Linked DNA regions of Coturnix japonica. The protein of the gene in region 1 interacts with the protein of each later gene in a biochemical or structural test. Links are inferred from orthologs where the notes say so. Each region holds a gene or a part of one and is shown on either strand. Other genes may lie near its edges.

The links.
Region 2: the proteins of TNNI1 (region 1) and TNNC1 are reported together in a solved structure, tested with the Homo sapiens proteins (2 studies listed by BioGRID, with this or other methods). The link is inferred for Coturnix japonica from reciprocal best matches to the Homo sapiens genes TNNI1 and TNNC1.

What each region holds. Positions count from the first base shown.
Region 1 is NC_029541.1:1,161,309-1,165,860, reverse strand, and holds the start of TNNI1 (troponin I, slow skeletal muscle), read right to left. Parts: upstream 3,038-4,552; 5' UTR 2,970-3,037; intron 1,445-2,969; 5' UTR 1,425-1,444; coding exon 1,414-1,424; intron 1,008-1,413; coding exon 1,001-1,007; intron 909-1,000; coding exon 867-908; intron 431-866; coding exon 299-430; intron 214-298; coding exon 124-213; intron 1-123. UniProt on the Homo sapiens protein: Troponin I is the inhibitory subunit of troponin, the thin filament regulatory complex which confers calcium-sensitivity to striated muscle actomyosin ATPase activity.
Region 2 is NC_029527.1:237,720-240,850, forward strand, and holds the end of TNNC1 (troponin C, slow skeletal and cardiac muscles), read right to left. Parts: intron 2,753-3,131; coding exon 2,722-2,752; intron 2,557-2,721; coding exon 2,410-2,556; intron 1,602-2,409; coding exon 1,487-1,601; intron 1,384-1,486; coding exon 1,247-1,383; intron 694-1,246; coding exon 662-693; 3' UTR 518-661; downstream 1-517. UniProt on the Homo sapiens protein: Troponin is the central regulatory protein of striated muscle contraction. Tn consists of three components: Tn-I which is the inhibitor of actomyosin ATPase, Tn-T which contains the binding site for tropomyosin and Tn-C.

The DNA.
Region 1 (4,552 bases):
CTGGGCTCAGAGCTGTTGCTGCCTTGTCCCAGCCCACCTGGATGGCAGCTGGACCATGAGAAGGAGTGCTCAGACCTACGAGGGGTGATCAGGAAAGTGGGGAATTTTCCCTCCCTTTCCTACCTCCCTAGTGTTATGGTTGCACTTTGCTTCGATGTCATATCTCTCTTCATCCACAATCTCCACCTTCTCATGCAGCTCCCGGCACAGATCCTAATGGCCAAGCACAGCACAAAGGAGGTGAGCAGTGGGCCCGGTGCTGCAGAGCTGGTGCTCCATTCTCAGAGCAGGGATGTACCTGAAGCTGGCTCAAGGAGAGCCCACTGGTGTGCAGCGGGGTGATGCGCTCAGACAGGTATCTCTCCTTCTCCGACTGTTTGTCCACGATCTCCTGATCCCACTCCTCCTTGGCTTTTGCCAGCATCAAGCTCTGTGGGCACAAGCAGATGGTGGAGGTGTGGATGGGCAGATCCCATTGCTGAGGCCTCCAGAGTTGCCGGTGGGTCTATGGGATGCTGATCTCAGCGCTTCTCTGCTTGCCTTTGCTCTGCTGTGGTAGAGACTTTCTCAAGCCACAGCAAGGGGAGCTCCCAGGGTGGTGCTGCACAGCCCAGGTGCACCAACACGGGGGCTGTGGGGCTGTGGCTGCAGAGCAGGAGGGCTCAGAGCTTCTCCCACCTTCACACAGGGGGGAAGGGAGGGGAGATTTGCTCTATCAGCCGCAGAGCCCACATCAGTGAGCGTTTCTCAGAAGAGATGTGGGAGTGGGAGCTGCTCCTGCAGCGCTGCTGTTCCCCACCACCATCCCACCAACCACACAGCTCTGTTCCATCAGACCCAGGGAGTTTCCAGCCCTTAGGACTCACCTTCAACAGGAGTTTGCGCGAAGCTGTGATCTTGGATTTTCTCTAGGGGAAAGGGGAGGGGAAAAGCTTTGAAAACAAACTCAGAGCAAAGGCAGGGGAGTATCATGATCCCTCCCAAAAGGGGAAGCACTCACCTCCCTGCTGGCAGGCGCGTTTGGGCAGGAGCAGAGAAGGAGAGGAGAAAACAGAGCATCAGTGAGTGGGAATCAAAAGGAGGTGGCAGTCAGATGTTCCCCTTGAGATTCCCATTGGTCTCCTTCCCTCTGTGTGCAATGACTGAGAGCCACAGTGAGCCTGACCTGCAGCTCTCTGGGGGCTGAAGGCTCTCAAAAAGCCAAAACTCAATGATTTTGTGCTTTCAGGTTCTCTGACCTCAGAAATCTCCAATGAGGGTGCTGAGGTTGCTGCATACTTTTAGTTGAAGACAGATGATTTTTTACATAGGGAACAGCACAGTGAACCCAAGCAATGTGCTCTCCAGTCTGAACACCATATTGGTGGGTAGGAGTGAGAGAGCCCCGGGGGGAGAGGGAGCAGCACAACTTACGGCTCTGGCATCGTGGCGCTGGGTTGGTGTCCTGAAAACACACAAAGACACAAAGAAATAAATAACATGCAGAAATAAGCAAGTATATATAGAGGTGGGTTGGTCTATACATCAACAAACAGGAGAGGAGGATGAAACAAGCCACAGGGTGGTGTCGGTCAGGCATTGTTGGGGTCCGGTGCTGCTGATGGAGGAGAGCAGCCCTGGTGCTCTCTGGAGCTTCCCAGTGCCCACCTCACTCCTCACCCAGCCTGTGTAGGGAGCTCTGGGTCTGGGTGTGCACAGGAGGGAGGAGGGAGGGGTCACCCACCCCCTCTGCTTGGACCTCCCCAGCATCCAGCCCTGCTCCCCAATGGAACGCTCACCCGTTTCATAGTTGGAATGCTCTCAGTAACCCTATGCCCCAGCAGCTGCTGTATGCTGAGCCCCTGCTGGCTGCTCACAGCGGGAGCCCAGGGGTGGGAAAAGCACTGGGAAAATGCCCATTGAATCTTCCTTCCAGTTTTTGCATCCGAACTGAAGGAGCATCTCAGTAACAAACAGCTCTTGTCAGTGCTGGTGGGGCTGCTGCTGTTACTTCACATTGAGGTGTTCCACCTCCATTGACTTCTTTGCCTCCCCCAGTGAATCTGGGAACCATTTTAAACCACAAAGGGGAAAGTTAAGAAGAGTTCCTCTGCTCCTGGAGAGGTTCCCCCTGAGCTGAGCATTGCACAGTGTGTGGGCACTGGTCCTCCAGTTTATCCTCATCCCTCCCTGTGTCCCCACTGCACCAGAGCTCCAACCTGAAGCATTGCAGCTGGGGGAGAAAAGCCACAGATCTCAACAGGAGCCCCATCCCACAGAGCCTGCAGGTCTTAGGGTTTACAGAGAATAGCCCCCAAAATAGGATATATAGGCTGAGGGCAGCCCCCAACTGCTCCTTCTTGAATTCCACGGGGGCGGGGGGAGACACAGAAAACCCTCTGTGTCCCCATAGAGCAGCAGCAGTTGGAGTAGCCTCGTGGCGTTTTTCTCCTCCTTCCCCTCAGAACAAAGCCACGTCCCAGGAGGTGGGACCCATGCCAGATCCCATCCCAGCGACCTCTATCAAGGGCAACAAAGTTTTAGGGCAAAGTAGTTCCAATTTGGCTTCCCAGAGGGCTCAGGGGAGCAGGTAGGATGTGCCTGGTGAGCTCATGTCAGGGGATCTGGGGGCTCCAGACCCAGAGCATCCATAAGAGACTTTACTCTCTGACGGAGACATGGTCAGAATGAGCTCATTTTGCTCTGATCACCAGCATAAAAAGTTTCATAAAACACAAAAGCAGAGAAAACACTAAAAGAAATAACCCTGTAAAATCAAGCACAGCCTTGTCCTGTCATCCCCCTGCACCCACCCTGGGCACGCTCCAAGCCCACCTCCCCCATCCCACCAATGACCCCAAGCAGCCACAGAAGGACTCAGTCTGCCCCAGGATGGTGCTGGTGGCTGACTCAGACTGAAAACCCATTGCTACAGCTGGGGCTCAACAGCCCCACATCCCCAGCAATCCCACTGGGGGGGACCCTCTTACCTGGGAGCTGGTGCCTGGTGTCTGCAAAGCTGAGCACTGCGGGGGCCCGGAGACGGAGTGGGAGTGTTAACCCTCAGCTGGCTTCCAAGTGGTCAGTAAAAATAGCACAAATCCCCTCTGGTGCACTGCAAGCCCCACTGCCCCGTGACGTGCAGCACACACCTGGGGTGCAGCCTCAGCACACGAGTGCATCACAGCTGGGTTTGTTGCAGTTGTGACCCCAACACGTTCGAAGCAATGTTTGCTGTTTGCATGCAGTCAGTTCTGCTGCTGCTTGTTGCCCATGCATCCAGGGTGCAACAGCAGTGCCCATATGCTTCCCACTCCATTTCCATTTTCCCTTTGCTGGGTAAACCCTGCAAGGAGGCAAAAATCGTGTCTCTGTGTGGCTTTTCTCTCTCTGCATAAAATTTCCCAGCTTTATTCATTTATTTTGCAGATAAGGAGATGGGGTGAGGAACTGACACATCCACATCCACAGTGAGGTACTCACAGCAGTGCTGCCCATGGGGCTGTGAGAGCAGGAGAGCACATCCCCTCTGATGGGGGTGATGGGGAGGGGGTTCCACCACTGCACCAGGAACTGAGTGCAGGTTTGTGGGTCAGGAGCAGCCAGGTCCTGGTTGGGATGCTCAAGCAGTTCCCATCCCCTAAGCTGCTCCCTGCACCCCAGCTGGGTGTCCCCACAGAAGGAGGCTCTGTGCAGCCCATAGGGCAGGCAGCACCTGTTCCTGGGATATTTTTAGGGGCAAGTTTAGGAGCAAACAATCCCCAGCGTGCAGCCCAGCGGGACAATGCCTGGTATTTTAATCCTAAATCTATTATGGTCACGGAGGAACAAGCAGTTGCGTGCATGGGGCAGCTCCTGTGATGGGGGGCACAGGGGGTACAGCAGCCCCATATCCCACTGAACATGGAGCTGTTCCCATCTCCTCCCACTGCCAGGACATCTTTGCCATAGGGGGAAGATGCAGCAGCCCTCTGGCTGGTGTGGGTTTGGTAATGGTAGCTGGGGCAATGACAGTGGCAGTCCCATCCTGGCTTCATCTGCTCTGGTGCAGCGTTGTGGATCCCAGGCTGCAGGAGGAGGTGTTATGGCAGCCCTTTATAAGGTAAGATGCCTGCAGGGCTGTGCCGCCAGCATCTCTCCTTGGGATTGTTCTCTGCACACAGAGGAGCCAAATTTAGCCAGTGACAAAGGCCCTGCATTCCCCACAGCCCTGTCTGGGGACTGGGGCTTGGGGAGCAGTGCAGGCAATTTTGGGATGCCATTGGCTCTGGGCTCAAGTTTCATTCTCTGTAGGAACCTGGACAGAGAAAGAGGGGAGGAACAAGGGCTCCCCTCAGCCCCAGACTGTAGGACCGGCAGCCATAGGACCAGAAGGAGCCATGGGTGTCCCCATCCCTCTGATGTCATGGGGATATTTTGTGTCCCTGCCACTGTCTCACACACAGTGATGAGCTGCCTGGAGACACTGGGGTTGCTTTATGCCTGTAGTTTTATGAGATGCCCTCTGAGCTCCTCATATGTAGGATGGGGACAGTCTGGAAATCTATGGGGAAGATCAGTTTGAAGTCAAGTT
Region 2 (3,131 bases), on another chromosome or scaffold:
GGACCCTTGGCACCCAAACAGGTGGGATTTCTAAGGGAGAAATGTTGTGATTCAGATTCAGTGTGAGATGCCGTAGTGCTACAGCGCTGCTCCCTTGCAGGACCACCTGCCTCCCTCCACACAGAGTGAGACAAGGAAGAGGTGCTTCCAAATATAATTTTCCCTCTGTATGTACCACAGAGTGGACATCAGGATAGGGAGGGGGGGAGGGATGTCTTTGGGACAGTTGTAGGAATGTCAGGGAGGAAAGGAGATGCTCCTTTCCCAGGGGTTTTAGTAATGGAACAAGTGGTTGTTAATTCATGTTTCATCACTAAAATGTTGCCAGGGCTCCAGTTAAACCAGCAGGCACCAGTGCAGGCCCCTGCTGCCCTCACATGCTGTGACCAGTGGGGCAGCACAACATGGCGACTCCCTGGCAGGCACCCAGAGCCACGAGGAGCGTCCCCTTTGGTTGTGAGCCTATGGCCAAGGTGCAGCGCTCACCGTACTGCCAAGGAACCACTACCAGAAGCACTTGATAGCAACACTCTTTATTTTCCCTATGGCCACCCTTCTCAGCGCTCAGTCTTCATGCCGGCAGCCAGGGGACAGAACCGAGAAGCTGAGTCACAGAGCAGAAGGGGTTTCAGAGATTCGGGCTGTCCATCTGGCCTCAGATTTATTCAACTCCCTTCATGAACTCCAGGAACTCTGCCAAGGGGGAGACATCAGAGATGAGGGCTATTAGGTGGCACTGAAGTGCTTTCACAGCTGCCATAGTACGCGCTTGGCAGCTCTCCACGGCCCTTTCTCTATTTCCATCTAACTGAAGCACAAGAAGCCAGGCAGATGGCTACTGCTCCTCTGGCCATGGCCAGAGCTCCTCATGCCTGCAGTGGAAATGTCACCAGTGCCCAGTGTCACCCCCGGCCACAGACTCCACTCAAAAACAGCCTGCAGATCCTTTTGACAGCGCCGTGTCCAAAATAACAGCCCCTCAGTGCTGATGCTGGTGTTTAGGTGGCAAAAGCAGACGGGCAGGTCTCAGTGAAAGCAAACCTTGCTGTACAGCATCAGTAGGAAGTTAAGGGATGCCCAGGTCCTTGCAAACATTTTACAACCTCCCCAGCTCCATACAAAGCCAGGATGGGATCAGGAGCATTGCCCAGCTCTGCACAAGCTCACACCTGCCCCCAAAGACAACTGAGACCATGGGAGCTGCTCAAAGACTCACAACCAAACTTCAGGCAAGAAAGACTCCTACCGTCATAGTCAATCCTGCCATCATTGTTTTTGTCCCCATCTTTCATCAGTTCTTCTATGTCATCCTCAGTGATCGTCTCTCCAGTTGCCTGCAGCATGATCTTCAGTTCTTCAAGATCGATGTAGCCATCAGCATTCCTGTGTGAGCACAGAGGAGCTTAGGAAGGGACCCGCACACTGGGGAGGTGAGCTGGGGCCATCTCACCTCTCCCATCACCCACACTGTGGCTGTGGTTCTTACTTATCAAACATCCTGAAGAGATCTGAAAGTTCCTCTTCAGTTTTTCCTTTGCTGTCATCTTTCATACACCGGACCATCATAACAAGGAACTCATCGAAGTCCACGGTGCCGCTGCCTGTGTGCAGAATGAACACCGTCAGGCAGTGGGTGCACAGGTAAAGCCAAGTGAGAGGACAAAGTTCCTGCTAGGAACTGCAGGACCGAACTCAGAGAGCAGCTCTGTGGCAGGAGGCAGCTTGCAGGCTGGAGTGAGCAACTGAAACCATGGATTGAATTCATTGCTCTTGGTTTTTTTACCTTTTGTAGCCATTTTGCCCCAGCAAACCAAATATACTGCAAAACAGGACTGGAAGCTTTGATGAATGTGAATTCCTACCCTGGAGGCACCTGTCCATCTCATTAATAATGAAAACTCCAGCAGGCAGGTATTCATGCACTATTTTTGCACCAGCAGCGTAGCACTGTTGTTTTCAATGGCACTAAGGCTTTGCATGATTTGGGGCCACTTTTCTGTTTTCCAGTTTCTTGGCACAGTCTTTCCCTCCAGCCTGCACACTGGTTTTGTGTGCACACACTGATTTGATCAGTATACGTGTTTATGTCCATATATGTTAGAGCGGTGAAAGACTTTCCTGCTGATAAATGTTGACAAATTGTGACATTTATGCAATACCAGTTACTACCAAATTGGTTCAAGTAGTCTGGCCACGACAGTCAGAATCATTTTTATAGTGTTTATTAGTCTGGAAATTCCCTGTAGGAACCACACAGAAGCGTGGGGTGCATTCAGGATCTATCATAACCCCAGCTCCAGGCTCTCAGCAGGCGCTGTGTCCCGCATGGATCCTGCCTGAGGCCCACAGGCAGCAGGGAGCACTGAGCAACAGGACAGGGCTTCAAATGAGGAAACCAGAACCTCTCACCATCCTCATCCACCTCATCGATCATCTCCTGCAGCTCCTCGGGGGTGGGGTTCTGCCCCAGCATCCTCATCACCTTCCCCAGCTCCTTGGTGCTGATGCAGCCATCCTCTGCCCCCAGCACGAAGATGTCGAAGGCAGCCTTAAACTCTGAGAAGAGAATGGAGAGATGTGTGGGTTCTGTCCCCCAGGCTGGGGGTTTGCCCGGTGGGAACACCCGGGGGACACAGAAGCTGCCTGTGATGTGATCCTAGTGGATCAAGAGCCCTGGGAGCTCCTCCTCAGGCTGCCATGTCAGGTTAAAGATGCACCTACCATTTTTTTGTTCTTCTGTCAGCTGCTCAACCTGTAAGTGAAAGACAGAGAGCAATCCATTTTAATTCCTCATTGCCACTCATTGCTAACCCTCCAAGAGCTGCTCTCTCACAGGCTGGGACCTGGTCAGAGGAGGGACATCTTTGTGCCATGGCCAAGACCATCCCCAGTTGTTTTCAGCCCCAGATTCAATAAACAATCATAAGCATCAAGGTCTTGGCTACCAAAATCAGAATTTGCTCTTATAAGGTTCTGCCTCTATTCCCCTCATCCTGTTTTCCTTCACCCTGAATATTCATGTAAATTCTTTGGTCAGTGTATCACCTCAGTGCAATGGGGACATGCCACAGACAGGTTATGGTGCATGAGGAGCAGCAGGCTGCAGTCACCGTCATTCCCTGAACCTGGGC